Caenorhabditis elegans: one gene and its partners. The protein of the gene in region 1 purifies or fractionates together with the protein of each later gene. This does not show direct contact. Each region holds a gene or a part of one and is shown in the gene's direction. Other genes may lie near its edges.

Region 1 (3,733 bases):
GGGCGTATTTTAAGATAGGATGAAACAGAGCAAATATTGATTTTCACACAATCTTCAAAGTTTTGACATACGCAGTGATTTTTGATTTTAGGATTTGCAGCTATTTTTGAAATCAATAATTTTGATGTCATTGAATAACAGACAAAAATTGTGTTTCGAACTATACTCTCATTGGAGACAATTCAGAAACGATTCAGAAAAAAAAACCTTCCATCAGAATTAGTGTGACAAGAGGTTCTTACTCATATCCTAAATTAACAAGGATAACTTTTTTGATTCCTCAACTTTCAAACTTTTTCATCTGATTTTCTATTGAGTGTTCTGTCTACCAGTGCTCTTATCTGAAAACAGCTTTTAAGATAATGCGTCAGCTGGCAGAAACGCTTTTAATTTTGCTTCCTGTTTGTTAACTTATTTTTGAAACGTTTTACTTCGAAAAGAGTTAATTTTTTGGTTTGTTTGTAAATTTGAAAAAATCATTTAATGTTTATTATGAGCGTATTACAAATGTTCGTAAAAGTTATTATTATTATCACTCCACAATTTCCGTTTGTAAAATGAATAATTGAATTTTTTTTTCCAATATACATCAAACAAAATTGTGAAAAAATTGCTTTAACGAAATTGAAGCATAAACAATAGTTCTAATTCCAATTACAACAATTTGTGTAAATCAAATGTTTCCTCTGAAAACTTCAAACAGTAAACCATTAATGTTTTGAAAAGTACGATGATGGTCTGGAAAACGCGCTTTGAAAATTTGTTACAACACGTTAGAATCACAAGTTCAGATTAGCTGTCGCCTCTAAAAATCAATTGTTGAACAATGTCTTCTTCAATTTTTTGATAATCAGCAAGCACAACTACTAGAAACAAAATATACAATTTTAAAGTTGGCAAAGAAACATTGGATACAATTTTCCAGTCGCTTGGCATTTTTGTTGAACATAATTTCAATTTTTCGAAAAATTTATGTTTTGTAATGTTTTATTTTGATTTCCATACTTATGAAGTAGTAAAGATTTCTACTGGGCTCATGAGATACAAAACAATCTGAACATTCAATTTTTTATCTTCGGAAAAGTTCTTGCTAGAAAAACAATAAAAACCACTTATAAACATTCCTTTCAATTGTTCTCTTTTTACGAACTTGTTAATTTGTCTTCAGCCATTAGAAACAATATTCGATGTTACATGTTTTCATTCAACATTCAAAGTTATATTCTTTCTAATTCCTATTTTGTGTTAATGGGCCACCCTCAGTGCAACTCTGATCATTCATCTCCCAAAAATCCCTAGATTCCCTGCTCTCCACCCTCGCTTTTCTGCGCGCAGCAAAAAGCCTACCACCTTAACTTTTACCTGCTTTTGAGAGAGATGTACTTGAGAAAATATTCGAAGCCAAACAGTTGGCTTTTCCAAAAATTCTCTCCCCCATGCGTTGCCGCAACTCTGTAGATATTTGCGTTTGTCGTTTCTTCACAAACAGATATTGCGTATATCTTCCCGGCCGTGTGAGGGTGATCAGAAAGTCTGAGATCCCCAAAGAGAGCACAGACACGGCGCACGGATCACGGGCACTGCTCTTTCTAGCGCTCTTTGTGTCGAGCTTCTGCTTGGGACACATTATCTCTGCTGGCAAAACTGATCGCTGCCCGCTGTGTTACACTCTATCTCAAACGGCATCCCGGGAATCTGCCACCCTCCACCAATTGCCTACTAACTTTGCCCGCCGTGGAGAGAGCACCTCCTCTCGGTCTCTTTTCGTATCACATTCCTCCCATCCAGCTACTCCTCCTTCCCATACGCCTACCAACCAACCATTATTATCTCAATGCTCTCGACAAGATCGGGACTTGGAAAAGGCTTCTTCTTCATACTTTTCATGGGTGCATTTTTAATTTTAATTTGTTCGTTTCCCAAGCAATTTACTTCTATCATTGTTTCGACAATTTTGTGTGCTACCTGTAAACAAATAACTGAGTTTCAGGTAGAGAACCTTTTCCAACATGTCCAAGGCCGCCAAGAAGAAGTCCTCAAAGAAGCGCTCGGGATCCGAGGCCGCCCAATTCGACCAGAAGACCATCCAGGAGTTCAAGGAGGCCTTCGGAATCATGGATCAGAACAAGGACGGAATCATCGACAAGGTTAGCTTTTTTTAAGTTTTAAAATGATACTAATGAACAATTTTTAGTCTGACCTCAAGGATCTCTACGCATCCATGGGACAAATCGCCCCAGACAGCCAGATCGACGCCATGATCAAGGAGGCATCCGGACCAATCAACTTCACCGTCTTCCTCACCCTTTTCGGGGAGAGATTGACAGGTAGGCTTTTCAGATTTTCTAATGGAATTCAATTCATTATTGCAATAATTTCAGGAACTGACCCAGAGGCCACCATTGTTGGAGCTTTTGCTATGTTCGATAAGAAGGACTGCGGAAAGATCAAGGAGGACGACCTTATCAAGATCCTTCAAAACAAGAGAGGAGAGCCATTAGACGAGGATGAGGTCAAGGCTATGTACAAGGTAAATTCATTCTTTCTGAAATCATTGAAACTTACCAATTCCTCTTCTTTCAGGGAAAGCCACCAATCGAGGGAGGAGAGGTTGACTACAAGGCATTCGCTCACCTCATCACCACCGGAGCCCAAGACGAGCTCGCCAGCGCCTAAACATCCGGCAATTGCACACAAATCTTACATTCTTTCAAATAATACTTTCTCATTTATTTCTCCAATTATAATCTTTCAATGGATTAGTGCAATAAATGGTGGTGATAAAATTAGTTGATACCAATGACTTCTAATGTTATTTTATAAAAAGGCTAATAGGTATTGGGGAAAAAAGTGATGAATAGTTTGAAAAAGAAATGCGAGAGGTGGAAAAGGCAACAAATCTGTACTGGGTGTCTATCACAATTGGAACAAATCTTAATGAGAAAATATGTTTCAATAAGGTTCATTACAGAGTTACCAGATGTCTGATAACCCGAGCTACGTTGAATTTTAAAAGTAAAATAGTTAGAAGATTACTTTTGATTCAATAACTGCATTGAAATTTACATTTGATTAAGATATCCCACGGTAAATAATTGATGATCATCACAATAATAACAATAGAATTTACAAGGTCTCGAATCATTCCATCATGTCCTCTTGAGGTGGATCAGGCACTGGAGATGGATGTGTCCCACTGCTACTTGGTCCTTCCACAAATGACATCACAGCGAGTTGCCGATGGAATGGATCCATTGGTTGCGCGGAGACTTCCATCGCGGCTTCTGCTTCAGTAAGTGGCCGCACTCGAATGATAACCCAGATTGATTCTGAAAATGTGGAAACATTAAAATTATGAGGTTTCTGAAGTAGCTGAATAATATTTAAGTCTTTGAAGAAATTCGATTAGTTTCAAAAAAATTATCTTTGCTGATTTGTACAAGCCGTTTTGAACCTGAGTTTATATTTACGTTTTAAGGTTTATTTTAAATTTATTTTCTATATTTCACTGATTTTCTTCATTTTTGTGGTTTTTTAATCGGAAAATAAAAGAAATATACAAGAAAAATGCAAATAGTTCATGAAAAAATCACTGAAATTGCCTAAAACTCTGAAATTATGTGATACGACGACAACGAGCCTGAAATTAGTATATTTTACAGTTTTAGGCAATTTCAGTGATTTTTTCATGAACTATTTGCATTTTTCTTGTATATTTCTTTCATTTTCCGAT
Region 2 (5,638 bases), on another chromosome or scaffold:
TTGTATTATTTCTATGGAAATAAATGAAACATTTTTCCCCAGCTGACTACGAGCTTAATTTTTCGTTTCAGTATTTGGAAACAAACTTGAGAACATAAAGTCATTTTATTAATAGGTTGATAACTGTATGTAGTAGAAAATAGTAAATTGACAGCATATTGAGCGCAGTCATTAAACAGTGGCATTCTCTGGTAAAGGTTAAAGTGGGAATAGACTCAAAAAGGTCTTAAACTAACTAATTTCATTATTCTTTAAAAAATATCGAAAATGTTGGGAATATTTTTGCCATCAGAATCCTTTTTGCATATATATTTATTGTAATTTTTTAATTAACTTATCCTTTGAATTTTTTAAGAAAAAATTCTGAAACAACATTTTCTAGTAGATCAGCAATACTTACAAGGAAAAAGAATGGTACATGTCACAGAAATCTTAGAAATTTCGAGAGTCTTCTTAAAAGTTTTTAGAAACTTTAATTTTTTATTTCAATTTGCTGAGAAACAAACTAATTCAACTTTTCGTGTTTCCAGACTGTTAACTAGGAGAAAATGATTTCAATTCTTGGTCGATGTACATACTTGATCGGTGTTCCCGTGTTCACTTTGAATTTCAGGGGGTGGCCCCGAGAACAAAGATGAATAAGAGGAGCGAAAATCTCAAAAAGAAACAGACACACACACATTTACGCACACACATACAAATACTGTGTGAGAGATATAGATGGGGGAGAAATTGGGCAAATATTACTATTAGAAAAACGAGAAAAATTCGAAGAAAAGGCGAGCGGAGGATGCGCAGAAGTATCCGAGTGTGGGATGGGGGAGCAAAGACATGGCACAAAAAAGTCGAGAGATTCGGTGAAACTTCCTTCACCAATGCCACTTGGTCTCTCATCATTATTACAACACATTTTTGGAGAGAATGGATATGAAAGTTAGGTTAAGCTACAAAAAAAACGTTATTTGCAACAGTTAAAAAAACAGGTTTCTCAAACAATCTATAACTAATAATCTGAAAAGTTAATTCCTAGCTGGGAGACTAATATCTGATCAGCACATAATATGTCCAGAGAGATCTTCGCAGCAGTGATATTGTGGCACACATCCCCAACGAAGTCGGCCACAATGTGCCAAACGCGCCTCGCAGTGAGTGCATTGCGGATGCTCGTTTTCGTGAAACACATATCGTACCGGTCCTCAATCGAAATGAGTATGCGCACATCGCGAATGAACTATGCGAATACAAAATAGTGATTTTTAAATGAAAACGTTAAGGTTGAATATCATGGTTTGACAAAAAAAATAAATACTTATAAAATTGCTTGAGGTATTAAGGTACACTATATTGAATATTATTTGGCAGCACAGTTTCTATATAACATTTTCTCATGTTAAATTTTTTGATGGATTTCTGAATTTTAATGTAGACAAATGTTTTCAACGACAAAGCATCCAACTTTGAATGTACTTCAAAGAACACGATGGAAGCAAAAATATTTTTTTAAACTCAAAACGTCGCTTTTTTTAAAATTTTTCTAAATAATTGTGTCCAAATCCGATTTAGATCTATTATTATTATTCGGATTTCTTACACAGTATTCATTAATGTTCTAATAGTGTTGTTTCTAATAATAAAATAAGACCAGTTTGCTGGTCCAGGTTACTGAAATCACTGATTCCAATTTTTTATACAAATATAAGTAAACTAAGAATGAATCCCTTAATTTTTTTTCTACATTTTTTTATCTACTCCCACAAGTTCCAAGCGCTTACTCTCAAAAATCTCTTACGTATGTCTCTATCCAATAATAATGTGTGCTCAAAAAAGCGCGGGCTCATTCCGAAAGAACCCCCTCCTCTGATTTTTTCAACAAGTTCTACAGTAATCTCTTCGTTTCTCAATTTAACATACTCTTTCGATGAACCTGAAAGATAAAGTACTTGGACTGGCGACGCAAAAGCTCAAAACGTATGGACAATGCACATCCAAGAGACGTTTGATGCTCTCGGCAACAGTTCATTGTGTGGATATCGGAGAGCCCCCTTTCTTGCGCACGGGCGCTAAGCAAGAGAGGAAGATGAGGGGGAGTTTGAGTTGCTCCGCCCTATGAAGTGTGCCGAGTGAAGCTCTCTCTTGTGTGTGCCAAACTATTATCCGTCCCTGCAGAGCACAGTAGTGTGGAGCTGTGTGCAGTGCAGCAGTAGGAAGAAAAAGAAGAAGTCACCCACCTGTTTAGCCTCATTTTTCAATTAGCCGTTCGTTTTAATTTCCACTGAAACAAATCAAGAATGTCGCTCGAACACGAGAAGGACCCAGGATGGCAGTACCTGAAAAGGTCGAGAGAGCAACAGCTCGCGGTAAGATTTTACTTCTTTCATTTTACTTTCTACTTTTTCCTAGGTTTACATTCGACGTATTTTTTCTCCTCATAAATCCTAATCTTCTCAAATTCCAAAATATTCGAAATTTATCTGAAGTCGCTGCTTTTTATACACTTCTAATAACGAATTGTTCCTTCAGTTTTGAACCTAATAAAATACCGTATTTTCCCAATTTGTCCTTCTCTCGACAAATAATATTTCATCTATTTTGAGTATAGAAACAATTCAATTTAATTTTCCAACTAGAACAAGATTCAATCTTTATTTTACTTGTTGAATATGTTCTGATAAACTTTAAAATGAAACTTTTTCAATTACAATAGAGTTATTTTAAAGTGGTTAAGTGAGCATTTTTACAGCAAAATATTAAAAATTGTTTCTTGGCTACTTTTTTAAACATATTTTCAAGGTTCAATCTCTTAAAATTCTTACCGGTTTTTCGGTAGATCGTTATTTTTAAAGCTTCTAAACTTCACCGTTTTGATATTTAGGATAATAATTATTTTATAACTATGTATGAATATAAATTAATTTTTATATTTTTTTTATTTTACAGGATCAATCCCGCCCATACGATTCGAAGAAGAACGTCTGGATTCCAGATGCCGAAGAAGGATACATTGAGGGAGTTATTAAGGGTCCAGGACCAAAGGCCGATACTGTTATCGTTACCGCCGGAGGCAAAGATGTAACTTTGAAGAAGGATATCGTTCAAGAAGTCAATCCACCAAAGTTCGAGAAAACCGAAGACATGTCCAACTTGACTTTCCTTAATGACGCCTCCGTTCTGTGGAATTTGCGTTCCCGTTACGCTGCTATGCTTATCTATGTAAGTTTTTTCAGTTTCAAAAAACTTCAAATAGAAACACGGAAAAAAGATCTGCGAAAATGCGTAGTTGGATAGGCAAATAGTGCGCCCACGCAAAAGTGGCAAAATGCTATCTTAAGTGGATCGAGACAGACGATGAGAAACAAAGAGAGTCATGCTCAATGTGCACAGTGAGTAAAGAGAAAATTTATATTGGAATTTTGGACTGAAATTGGAATGGTACTAAAAATATGTGATTCAACAAAGGCAGTATTGAGAATATAAAAATATCGTTCCAAAAAATAACTAAATTTGAATACTACTGAAATTTAAAGAAGTAAGTTCTATAAAAATGGGATATTGACTGAAACAAAATGTTCCAATTTGCCCATTTTCAGACCTACTCTGGACTTTTCTGCGTTGTCATCAACCCATACAAACGTCTCCCAATTTACACTGACTCTGTTGCTCGTATGTTCATGGGCAAGCGTCGTACCGAGATGCCACCTCATTTGTTCGCTGTCTCTGATCAAGCCTACCGTTACATGCTTCAAGACCATGAGAATCAGTCTATGCTTATTACCGGAGAATCTGGAGCCGGAAAGACTGAAAACACAAAGAAGGTTATTTGCTACTTTGCCACCGTCGGAGCTTCACAAAAGGCTGCTTTGAAGGAGGGAGAGAAGGAAGTTACCCTTGAAGACCAGATCGTTCAAACCAATCCAGTATTGGAAGCTTTCGGTACAGACATAAATTAAAAAATTAACACTTGTCTGATAATTTGGTTGTTTAGGTAACGCCAAGACTGTCCGTAACAACAATTCTTCCCGTTTCGGAAAGTTCATCCGTATTCACTTCAACAAGCACGGAACTCTTGCTTCCTGCGATATTGAACACTGTAAGTTGATAATAATGATAAGAAGTTATTACGAAAATCGTAAATTGTTCAGATCTTCTCGAGAAATCTCGTGTCATCCGTCAAGCTCCAGGAGAGCGTTGTTACCATATCTTCTACCAAATCTACTCAGATTTTAAGCCACAACTCCGTGACGAGCTTCTTCTCAACCATCCAATTTCCAACTATTGGTTTGTTGCTCAAGCTGAGTTGCTCATTGATGGTATGTTTTGTATTTCTGGAGAATGAGATTAACTTGTTTTATTCCAGGAATCGATGACACTGAGGAGTTCCAATTGACCGACGAGGCCTTTGATGTTCTCAAATTCTCGCCCACCGAGAAGATGGATTGTTATAGACTCATGTCGGCTCACATGCACATGGGTAACATGAAATTCAAGCAACGCCCACGTGAGGAGCAAGCCGAGCCAGATGGCCAAGATGAAGCTGAGAGAGCTTGTAACATGTACGGAATTGATGTCGATCAATTCCTTAAGGCTTTGGTGTCTCCAAGAGTCAAGGTCGGAACCGAATGGGTATCCAAGGGACAGAACGTTGATCAAGTTCACTGGGCTATTGGAGCCATGGCTAAGGGGTTATACGCTCGTGTCTTCCACTGGCTTGTCAAGAAATGTAATCTTACTCTTGATCAAAAGGGAATTGATCGTGATTATTTCATCGGAGTACTCGATATTGCTGGATTCGAAATCTTCGACTTCAATTCCTTCGAACAGCTCTGGATTAACTTCGTCAACGAAAAACTCCAACAATTCTTCAACCATCACATGTTCGTTCTTGAGCAGGAAGAGTACGCCCGTGAAGGAATCCAATGGACATTCATTGATTTCGGACTTGATCTCCAAGCTTGTATCGAGCTTATTGAGAAGCCACTCGGTATCATCTCTATGCTTGATGAGGAGTGTATTGTTCCAAAGGCTACTGACATGACTCTTGCCCAGAAGCTTACCGATCAACATCTTGGAAAGCATCCAAACTTCGAAAAGCCAAAACCACCAAAGGGAAAGCAAGGAGAGGCTCACTTCGCCATGCGGCATTACGCCGGAACTGTCCGTTACAACGTGTTGAACTGGCTCGAGAAGAACAAGGATCCTCTCAACGACACCGTTGTCTCCGTCATGAAGGCTTCGAAGAAGAACGACCTTCTTGTCGAAATCTGGCAAGATTACACCACCCAAGAAGAAGCTGCTGCCGCCGCTAAGGCCGGAGGTGGTCGCAAGGGAGGAAAGTCTGGATCTTTCATGACTGTATCCATGATGTACAGAGAATCTCTCAACAAGCTCATGACTATGCTTCACAAGACTCATCCACATTTCATCCGTTGTATCATTCCTAACGAGAAGAAACAATCTGGAATGATTGATGCCGCCCTTGTGCTCAACCAGCTTACATGTAACGGAGTGTTGGAAGGAATTAGAATTTGCAGAAAGGGATTCCCCAACAGAACTCAACATCCAGATTTCGTCCAACGTTACGCTATCCTTGCCGCCAAGGAAGCCAAGTCATCGGATGACATGAAGACTTGTGCCGGAGCTA
Region 3 (5,994 bases), on another chromosome or scaffold:
GTGTTCTCAGCATTCTAAAAACATATTTTTCGACCCAAATATCCCAATTTGATTTTTTGCCATTTTCCGAAAGGCAAAAGTCCGATTTCGTTTTTTGGAGCGGAGGACGATTTTGGAGATGTGTAGAAATTTCAAAATTTTTTTGATGGGACTTGATAGAGCACCAAAAAATGCGATGTTTCGTCCACATTTCAAGTTTCTGCGTTGGATATGAAGGGTTTTATCGATGAAAATGGATTTTTCTGGAAAATGGTCTGTAACTCGACTGAAGTTTGAATTCTTGGAAAGATTTTGTGGAGAAATGTGAAAAAATATCTATAAACCCTATTTTAACTTATATGACATTCATAACTTGCTTATTTCATGAGATACATCCGTTTCATCAAAATTAGTTTCAGATTATTTGTGCAATTTTGTTCATGGATTACTATCTCTAGGAAATACCAACCTTACTGGTGCAAAACTAGATGCAAACTGTAGGAATTGAAATTTCAATCAATTTCACAGCAGGCAGTTTCTTTTGAATATGCTTAGTTGTCAAAATACTCCTGTTTGAAATTTCTAGAATCTAAGAGTGGCAACAGTTTTTCAGGTGAAAAGTATATTCCAAGAGTTGCCAGTCGGAAAAAACGCTTCAAAATTGTATGAAAAGTTTACAGAGCTTCAGTTCATATTAATATTTTTTGTTTTGTTTGAGAAATTCAGCTTAAAGCGAGAAAAGTACCTAACTCTCAATTAATGTTTCCAATTGCTATATAAATACCAATTTTGTGACAAGTATATCTTGAAAAGCAGAAATTTTTGCACAAAATGTTTGACTGAGAAATTAATGGAAAATATCTTATCTGTCTGTCACAAAAACCTGCTTATTGATAAGTATCCTAGTTTCAGAGATACATGACTTCAAAGTTATTTTACCAAAAAACGTCCAAAAACTTTGGTTCCTCTTCCGTTACAACGGTGTATCTACCACAAGAAAGATTTTTGTGAGATATTTTTATTGATTTAACATTTTATAGATATTTTCAAAAATAATCTGTAAACTTTTTTCAAATAACTTCAACTTCAATATAGGTTACAGGCCATTTTCCAAAAAAAATCCATTTTCATCGATAAAATCCCTCATATCCAACGTAGAAACTTGAGATTTGGATGAAACATCGTAATTTTTGGTGCTCTATCAAGTTCCTTTAAAAAAATTTTGAAAAATCTGCACATCTCCAAAATCGTCCTCCGCTCTGAAAAACTAAATCGGACTTTTGCCTTTCAAAAAATCTACATTTGAAAAGAAGGCGTGGTCTAACGCACGTTTTTCCCCGTGAATGGCGGAACCCTGATTGTCATCGGCTGCTTTATTGTTTTAAAATAGCATATTTTCTCAATTTTACTTGCACCTGTGGTTTGACGGCTTATATCTCGGTTGCCTTAACGTTTATCAAAAAATTTTCAACAATCAAAATATAGAGAAAAATTTTGTACGTGTTTTGTCCGTTGACACTTCTTTAATATGACTAAAGACAACTGAGATACTGAGACTGAGACTGTCAAACAAGAGCAAAGGGGTCTAATAGGGGAAATACGGTCATTTTATTTGTCAGAGACTTTCATGATTTACAGGTTTTAAAGGGCTAAACTGAAACAGCTACAATGAAGCGTGATGAAAAAATTTGTCACTTCAAAAGCGTACTTCCATATTCTAAGTTTCTAAGTTTGAAAGCTTTTTCGTGGAGAATGATCAGAACCAAAAAGTTTTCTCTATTTCTTGTCATTATTTGCTCTTGACAGGTAAACCCAACCCACATCTATTCAGCCAGAATTGTAGTATTTTTTACGACTCGAACTTTGTTTCCATACTGGCACTCGCAACACATTTTTTTCAATACGACACCATAAAAAGGATGGCTTCAAAAAGCGAATTATTATAGTGATAAGCATATTTCTTCTTATCAATTAGCAACTCTATGCAACCTTCATTTCTTTAGAGTCTACCGCATTTTTATAGATTTTTTATTACGATTTTCATTAATTCTGATCATTGAGAGTCCATTTTATTCAGAATGTGTCGAACTCTACTTGGTGTAGCTTTTCTAGTTGTGACGGTCCTATCTCAAGGAGAAAAGGATTTGATCCAGAATCTGCCCGGTCTTTTGTTCAAAGCCAATTTCAAGTCATATTCTGGATATGTCGATGCAAATGCAAATGGAACATGGAAAATGCATTATATGTGAGTTTTATATTCTCGGCAAATCTGGAAATCTGAAGTCTTATTTTCAAGTGAACCATTAGTGAATGTATTTTTTTCGAATTCATTAGTTCTCAAAATTTCTCAAAATTCCAGCTTTTTGCTTTCATATAGTTTCTTAGATCTTCTTTGAAAAGTATACTCCTTACTCGAATGCACGTTTTTTTTGTGAAATTTCGCAGTTTACACAATGATTGAAGATCATTCTATTTTCGGAACTCATTGAACTTCAAAACGTATTTCTCATCAAAATTTCAAAAGTTCCCTTGAAATGTCATTTCTCAATTGAATAATCATCAATTCATTTTGTTGTCACTATTTCTTCTGTTTAATTTAAAATTTCCACCTCACGAAGCATCAAGTAGTCATCTAATTCAGTCATAATTCTTGTGTAATTCTCTGCAAATACAATTAAAAATTTACTGATAACGTTTTTCGCTGTCCATGCGAAAACTGATAAAATTATTGGAAATACAAATTAAAAAGAAATTGTGCTTCCAGGTTGACAGAATCTCGATCAAATCCAGATACTGATCCATTATTGGTATGGTTCAATGGAGGGCCAGGATGCTCATCTCTTGGAGGACTTTTCGAAGAACTTGGTCCATTTTATGTTAACTTTGATGGACAAACTCTTTATGAGAACCCATATGCATGGAATGCGGTAATTATTATTTTTGGGGAAAAGGATAAGCTGTTTGCAATTCCAAAGACCAGAGTTTTATTATGTAGTTAAAAGAATTTCAAATCAGATTCCTGTAACACTCGGTTGCCTATGAAAACCGAAATGATAATCATAACTTTCAGTTTAGACTACAACTCTTTTCGATCAAAGGCGGTTTGCTAATTACCATTCGAAGACCACGTTATGATATTTAGTTCTCGTTGAATTGATAGAGAAAAGAAAGTTTGAATAGAAAATAGTCTTGCTTACGCAAATTTCAAGTTTTATTGCTTTTTGCAATTTATCGTTGAAACCTCATTTATTGTATAGATAACAAATTTAGGCACATAAAACACAACTTTGTGTAGTTTAAAAATGAAACCAAATTGAAACATAAAAAGGGACAGGGACATGTATTAGGATAATAAAAACTATAAATTTAATATTTAAAATTTCAGAAAGCCAACGTTCTCTACTTAGAATCCCCAATTGGAGTTGGTTATTCATATGACACTACTACTCCAGGATACTTCCAAGCTAATGATGATCAATCAGCTGCACAGAATTATCAGGCTCTCACAAACTTCTTCAATGTGTAATTGAATTTTAAGTCTAGATACGTAACAGAAAAATGTTAAATTTCAGTGCTCAACCTAAATATACGAACAGAACATTCTATCTTTCTGGAGAATCGTATGCAGGAATTTATATTCCAATGTTGACCGATTTGATTGTACAAGGAATCAACAATCCCAATCAACCCTTTCCAAACAAAAACTTCCAGGTAAAATAATTACACAATTACTTCAAAACATGTCTAATTTAGGGTTCTGCAATTGGAAACGGATTCATGAATGTAGCTGGACTTCTCAATGCCCTTACCCTTTGGAGTGCCTACCATGGACGTGTCTCTGAGCAGTAAGAACATTTTAAAACTGTTTTGTTCGTTTTAAACTGAACTTATTTTTTCAGGAATTGGGCCGACATCAAAGCAAACTGTTCAAAGGGAGCCGACGTTGACAGTTTTGATTTCTCTCAATTCACAACTTCTCAAAATAAAATTGACTACGTAGGAGATGGCTCATACTGCGGAAACCTCATTCAACCACTCATTTCGCAAAACGCTTTAGGAAATGAAGGGTATGAGATTTTGTATTTTATATATTTAACGTAATTTTCAGATTTGACCAGTACAACTTCTACCAAGAATGCTATGACAAATCTGTCTTTCAAGCCCCACCACCAGCTGGAGGAAAGAGACACAAGAGAAGTGCTATGCAAGGAGTATCTTCGGTCCAGAAGAACTTGCAATATCAACAACTCGGAAACTTCCAAGGAACTTCCAATTTGGCAAAGAACACTGCTGTTAGTTTATCTTAGTTTGTTAATTGAAACGCTTGCTTCATTGTTCAGACTCTTGTCAACCGTTTCTCAAATGACAATCAATTTGGATATTTTTGCTGGAATGAAGATGCTGTGTCAAAGTATTTGAACAGTGACAATGTGCAGAATGCTCTCAACATTCCACAAGCATGGAAGGATCAGAAAAACACATGGGAAGATTGTAGAATGTCTATCTATAATAATTATACTCTGAAATACAACACTACCAATCGATTCTTCAACAATATCATCACAAATCTCACAACCGACTTCCGTTTCTTAATCTACAATGGAGATGTCGATACTGTTTGTAACTATTTGGGAGATGCCAAGCACATTCTTCAAGTTGCTAAAGATAATGGACTTACCGTAAGTCACTTCTACCGTTAAATAATATTCCAATTATATTTTAAGAGTGGGCCACGTACCCCATGGTATTACAGTAACAACCAACAACTTGCTGGATATGTTCAAACTTACTCTGGCAAAAATAAGAACAATGCTATGATCACAATTGATCTTCTGACTGTAAAGGGAGCGGGACACATGGTTCCATATGATCGTGCAGGACCATCAGTTCAAATGATCTCCAACTTCGTTTGGGCTCCAAAGAATGTTGTTATCAACTATACCAGTCAAGATAATTTCAATCCAAACATTCAACTTTCTGATTTGGTTGACAGTGGATCCTCATCAACTGTTGCTTTCTTCATTTCTATGTTCGCTGTATTGCTCAACATCGTTTTCTAAGTTTTTTTCTAATTTATTGATTCAAGACTATATATGTAGTAATGTTTTTTAAACATTTGAAAATTCAATAAAAATGTACATAATTATTAGATTTAAGCTTGAAGCAATTTTTGTTGCTCTACAGATTTTGGTGGTTGTTGAACAAAAATATCGTCGGCTTCTTCGATGTCAGGATTGTGCATTCCAAGGGAGAAATGATAGAACCATCCACCGACAAGAGCACCAACAAATGGAGCAATGGCTGGAGCTAGCCAATAGTTAGGGTATGGAGAGCTGAAATCATTATATGAGATATTTGTGAATTGACACTGTGAACTAACTGGAAAACACCTGGACCATAGATAAAATAACTGAAGAGTCGTGGTCCGAGATCTCTTGCTGGATTAATTGGATATCCAATGTTCATTCCAAATCCAGTTCCGATCATCATTACCAAGAATCCGAAGAACATTGGATGCCAAATTTTTGGAATTTGATTTCTCTCATCAATAACAACGCAGAGGAAGTATGCGAGAACTCCGGTACCGACGCACTGATCAATGTATGGACCCCATACTCCAAGATTTGGAGATGGATAACTGGCAAAGCAACCAGCTGTTCCAGTAGCTCCGAGGATTGTGCGATTACCTCCATCAAATGCATTGAATTGTTCTGAAAATTTCAAAATAATTTCAACAGGGAGAATAAGTAGGATACCATAGTAATAAGAGTACATTCCAAGAGAAGCCACGAAAGCTCCAGCGGTTTGAGCAATTGCGTACAGTGGCACCCAAGCAAGTTTGAGATGACCAAGAGACCAAAGTAGAAGGGAAACAGCTGGATTGAGATGACCACCTGAAAGATGTTGATAAAAGTTCTTAAAATAAAAAGAAAATTGAGCAGAAGATTTGATTCACAGAAATATTACCTGACATCCTAGCTGTTGCCATAACTGCAAACATAATTGCAAATCCCC
Region 4 (4,783 bases), on another chromosome or scaffold:
TTTGGATTTTTTACATTTTGAAACTTCCATAAAGGCAGCAAACTGTATTTCTCCAATTAGTACATATTTATTTTTCATTTGGTCTTATTGAGTGCCTGTTCTGTTAAGAAGACTGTTAAGACTAACAAAGGATATATTACGATTTTGAGACTACTCATTTTTGGTACACCAATCGGAATTTTAAGTAGGAAGGCACCAAAAATAGGGGCGAAAAATGAGACTATAAACTGATAAAACATATGTATTGGAAATCTTTGGATTTTTGCGGTTTGGTGTTGCAAAAGTAGCTATTAGAGTGCAGTACTAATAGGGATTTCAATGAAATTCAGTAATAAGGTAGCTAGAGTGTATGCGTTACATGTTCTGTATACATCTGAAATATATATTTCAGATAGGAAAGCTGTTTGTATTTGTTTGCAGAGAATAACCCGAAACCCTTTTCAAAGTTCAAAAATCGAATAAGTTATTTTTCGAAGGTTTACTACATTTGGGATTTTCTGAAATCATTATTGTCAGGACCTGAGACTAATAGTAAGGATGTACCAACTTGGCAGATAAGATATGATTTACAAGTGTAGGTAAATGGTATATCTAATAAATAAGTGACAGTCCATAATAGGAATTTGATATCTTATCTATACTTGCAGAAGATTATAGAGTTTTTCCATCTTATTTAGACGCGTATGTTTCTTCCATACTCTTCAACTTTCTAACTCATTTTTTCATGATATCAAAACTTAAGAATTAAAAACCTGAATTTTCGTTCTGGCATTCAGGAATCATACCTTACCCCACAAAATTCCCTCGTTTGGTAAACTTGTTTCATGTTTGCCAACAAAGTACGCCCAAACATTTTTCTCAGGATCTTAAAATCGCTCAAAAATTCCCATAACCATTCTCGCCGTGTCACATGTAGTTCAATTATTACAATTCACAACAACCATCTGCGTCTCTCTCGTATCAGTAATCTATTCTCGGGTTCTACCTATCAAACAATCTTGTTCCCGTGTCATTTTCTATTCTTGTCATCAGTCACTATTTGTCCAAAAACTGTCAATGTATCAGTGAATGGTTGTGTTTTCTCTGTATCACCATCTAATTCTTATGTCTAACCACTACAAGCACTCACTAGAAATAGTCTACAAAACACGGTATTTTTTAGAGTAGATGTTTCGACCAATAAGTCAAAATACTGTCGAGATCATTGTTGAATCAATTTGTGCCAGACGACATCTGCACTATTTTTTTCCTAAAGAACAAGTTACGAACAAAGTTCTCCCATAATGCTTCATTTCCTTTCAGTATTAAGAAGTGAAGAAACCAATTTTTTAAAAATATCAAAACTTAAAAAATTAAAGACCTGCATTTTAAATTTTTCTATAAAATATGGGTTATTCGAGTTTGTAAAAGTGAACCATCAAATGTAATTTCAGATTTCTCATTTTGTGATTTCGTAGGTGAAAAAATAATTTTCATATATTTTTTGTTCTTCATTCTCCAATGAATTCTGATTCATTGAAATGAAAATTGTTAGGGTGCTACTGTCTGCCATTTCTCTCCCTTCATATTTCATTTCTGTTTCCGCTGCCAATCGTTCCATGATTCGATTATTTTTTTCATTTTTCACTGTGTGTTTCTCTTGTTTTTTTTAATTTTTATTTTGTTGAATTTCTAGTACTATTCATGTGAAAACGTGGTTCTTTGTAGCTTCTTGAATTTTATCGACCTTTCACTAAATTGATAAAGGTTCGATGAAAATGGGTATAGAAGAATTTATAGATAAGACACACAAAGTGTTTTTAACAGTAAGATAATTGTTATATTTCACGTTCGTATTCGATTTTTCGAATGTGCATTCTATTGAATCTTTTTTTTATTTTCAGTAGTTTCAGGAGTTGATAATACGTGAATTTGAACGTTTTGAATTTCAGATCCATCTTGGGCATGTATACCTTTTTATTTCTTCTCCTATCTCTTCTAGCAGTTGATGCAGGAAAAATTCTTGTGTACAGTCCATCCATAAGTCGGAGTCATTTAATTTCAAATGGAAGAATTGCTGATGCACTCGTTGACGCAGGTCACGATGTTGTTATGTTCATTACTGAATATGAACCATTAACTGAATTCACTGGAACTAAGAAGGCTAAAGTTATCACTATGAAAGGATTTAGTGAGTTATGATTTGACTCTAACAACACTAAAAACACTGTTTCAGGTACAAAGTTTGCTGAAGACATGGATGGAATCGGAGAATACCTATTATCGAGCTCCAGATTAAGCTTTTTGGAAAGATTAATGTTTGAGAAAACGTGCACAGGCGCGTGTGATGGTGACAAGACCCAATATTATTTTCGAAACATTTTTTAAAATTTAGATTTAATGACAAGACGCGAGGAATTAGAACAACTGAGAGCTTACAACTTCGACGTGGCATTCAGTGAACAAATTGATTTGTGTGGAGTTGGAATTGTCAGATATCTTGGAATTAAAAATCATTTATGGATTTCAACTACACCAATTATGGATGCAGTTAGTTATAATTTGGGAATTCCAGCACCAAGTTCGTATGTTCCAACAATCGAAGAAAATGACAATGGTGATAAGATGGATTTTTGGCAGAGAACTTTCAACTTGTATATGAAAATTGGTTCAATCCTTATTCATAGATACGGAACTGATGGAACTACAGAGGTAGTTTATTTTAATTTAACCTAAAACTAATCTTTTTCACTAATCACAGGTCTTCCGTAAGTACATCCCAGACTTCCCAAATGTCAGAGAAATCGCTGCAAACTCTTCACTTTGCTTTGTAAATTCCGATGAAGTACTTGATTTACCAAGACCAACTATCACAAAAGCAATTTATGTCGGTGGATTGGGAATTCCAAAAGTTAGCAAACCACTTGATAAGGTTACACAATATTTGATTTTAAAATTATCTGAATATAGTTTTTTAGAAGTTCACAAACATAATGTCAAAAGGAAAAGAAGGTGTCGTAATCATTTCACTTGGTTCAATCATACCATTTGGAGATCTACCAGCAGCGGCAAAGGAAGGGGTATTGCGTGCAATCCAGGAAATATCAGATTATCATTTCCTTATTAAAATTGCCAAAGGTAAATAATTGACGGTTCCAGAGTACATCGAATAGTGCAGAAGCTTCAGAAGAATTTAAAAATAAATCCCCCATAGTAATTTGTCAAGATACTAATTTTTTGCAGGCGACAATAATACCAAGAAATTGGTCGAAGGAATTAAAAACGTGGATGTAGCTGAATGGTTACCACAAGTAGATATTCTTTCTCATCCAAGATTGAAGCTTTTTGTAATGCATGGAGGAATTAATGGATTAGTTGAAACAGCTATCCAGGCAGTTCCAACTGTAATTGTTCCTGTTTTTGCTGATCAATTTAGAAATGGACGAATGGTTGAAAAGAGAGGAATTGGCAAAGTTCTTCTGAAATTGGATATTGGATATGAAAGCTTCAAAAACACAGTTCTAACAGTTTTAAACACTCCAAGTTACAAAAAAAATGCGATAAGAATTGGGAAAATGATGAGAGACAAGCCATTCAGTCCAGAAGAACGCCTTACAAAATGGACACAATTTGCAATTGATCATGGCGTTTTGGAAGAGTTACACGTGGAAGGATCAAGATTAAATACAATTATTTATTATAATCTTGATGTTATTGCTTTTGTCCTATTCGTGTTCGTTGCTGTTCTTCACGTTTTCATTTATGCTTTCAAGTTTCTGTGCTGTAAGAAGAGATCTCAGTCGAATATTAAAAAATCTAAGAAAAATAATTAGCTGATATTTATAGTCTCTTTTAATAAAAATATTAAAAATAAATGTTATTTTCCAGTAGGTGTTCAGGTGAATTAAGCATACAAGACTTAACGAAAATAGAAAGTAGACTTTAATCTTTTCTACAATGTTATGGCCTCATTCTAAAAATTTTAAAAGCGTCAATGTGGTACCGGCCGGTATTTTTTCGGATTCCAGACAATCTGAAGTCTGGCTTTTGAATTTCTATTTGTTTCAAACTGTTTGTGGCCCAAAACAACGGGTTAAACGAATCGTGCAAGAAACGGAAATTCCAGACAGCTTAAAAACATCTTCCACTGCTAGATTTTTCAACCAATGCCTTAAAATTGAAGAAACCACTTTCTACCATCAATTAGTGTTCCAATTATTATCATCTTTTTTCCTGTTGAAAATAAAACATTCTGCGTTTACAAAGCACGACATTTTTCTGCCAAAAACCGTAGTTGACAACGAGTAGCACACCGCCAGAATGAAAAAGTTATATAAATTGATAAACTTCAGGTTGTATACTTTTCAAATGTTCTGTCTTATTATATTGCGGTTCAGTTCTAATCAGTTTTAAAGTATTTTGGAACCCATTTTAAATTTTTATTCTAAAAAATTATTGATTTAGAAAAAGTTGCAGGTGACTGTTATGACCTTATTAGTTATTCTTCTCCTTCTTCTTGTTCTTTTTCTTCTATTCTTGTGTACAGTCCATCCATTAGTCGAAGTCATTTAATTTCAAATGGAAGAATTGCTGATGCACTCGTTGACGCAGGTCACGATGTTGTTATGTTCATTACTGAATATGAACCATTAACTGAATTCACTGGAACTAAGAAGGCTAAAGTTATCACTATGAAAGGATTTAGTATGGTGGTACGTGGATTGTTAAAATTTGATTTGAAATTCAGGTGAGAAGCACAATGATAATTCAATGGACGATATTGGGGAGTACCTTATTACTAATC

What was found.
Region 2: the proteins of mlc-2 (region 1) and myo-1 purify together in Caenorhabditis elegans (affinity purification with mass spectrometry, with the first as the bait; one large-scale study listed by BioGRID). This does not show direct contact.
Region 3: the proteins of mlc-2 (region 1) and ctsa-3.1 fractionate together in Caenorhabditis elegans (co-fractionation; one large-scale study listed by BioGRID). This does not show direct contact.
Region 4: the proteins of mlc-2 (region 1) and ugt-49 fractionate together in Caenorhabditis elegans (co-fractionation; one large-scale study listed by BioGRID). This does not show direct contact.

The regions. Positions count from the first base shown.
Region 1 is NC_003284.9:17,454,844-17,458,576, reverse strand, and holds mlc-2 (Myosin regulatory light chain 2), read left to right. Parts: upstream 1-1,990; 5' UTR 1,991-2,009; coding exon 2,010-2,147; intron 2,148-2,194; coding exon 2,195-2,327; intron 2,328-2,381; coding exon 2,382-2,530; intron 2,531-2,583; coding exon 2,584-2,676; 3' UTR 2,677-2,785; downstream 2,786-3,733. Other genes in the region: C36E6.2 (Nbr1 FW domain-containing protein), read right to left, coding at 3,142-3,329.
Region 2 is NC_003279.8:7,263,586-7,269,223, reverse strand, and holds the start of myo-1 (Myosin-1), read left to right. Parts: upstream 1-2,166; 5' UTR 2,167-2,288; coding exon 2,289-2,357; intron 2,358-2,937; coding exon 2,938-3,210; intron 3,211-3,587; coding exon 3,588-3,930; intron 3,931-3,982; coding exon 3,983-4,087; intron 4,088-4,139; coding exon 4,140-4,307; intron 4,308-4,354; coding exon 4,355-5,638. UniProt on the Caenorhabditis elegans protein: Muscle contraction.
Region 3 is NC_003280.10:7,230,797-7,236,790, forward strand, and holds ctsa-3.1 (Serine carboxypeptidase ctsa-3.1), read left to right. Parts: upstream 1-2,056; 5' UTR 2,057-2,057; coding exon 2,058-2,224; intron 2,225-2,743; coding exon 2,744-2,906; intron 2,907-3,364; coding exon 3,365-3,501; intron 3,502-3,551; coding exon 3,552-3,690; intron 3,691-3,732; coding exon 3,733-3,824; intron 3,825-3,878; coding exon 3,879-4,046; intron 4,047-4,087; coding exon 4,088-4,271; intron 4,272-4,319; coding exon 4,320-4,658; intron 4,659-4,703; coding exon 4,704-5,039; 3' UTR 5,040-5,124; downstream 5,125-5,994. Other genes in the region: aqp-1 (Aquaporin), read right to left, coding at 5,132-5,312, 5,360-5,690, 5,736-5,873, 5,947-5,994.
Region 4 is NC_003283.11:10,370,396-10,375,178, forward strand, and holds ugt-49 (UDP-glucuronosyltransferase), read left to right. Parts: upstream 1-1,925; 5' UTR 1,926-1,944; coding exon 1,945-2,170; intron 2,171-2,215; coding exon 2,216-2,329; intron 2,330-2,374; coding exon 2,375-2,691; intron 2,692-2,740; coding exon 2,741-2,911; intron 2,912-2,957; coding exon 2,958-3,117; intron 3,118-3,222; coding exon 3,223-3,812; 3' UTR 3,813-3,866; downstream 3,867-4,783.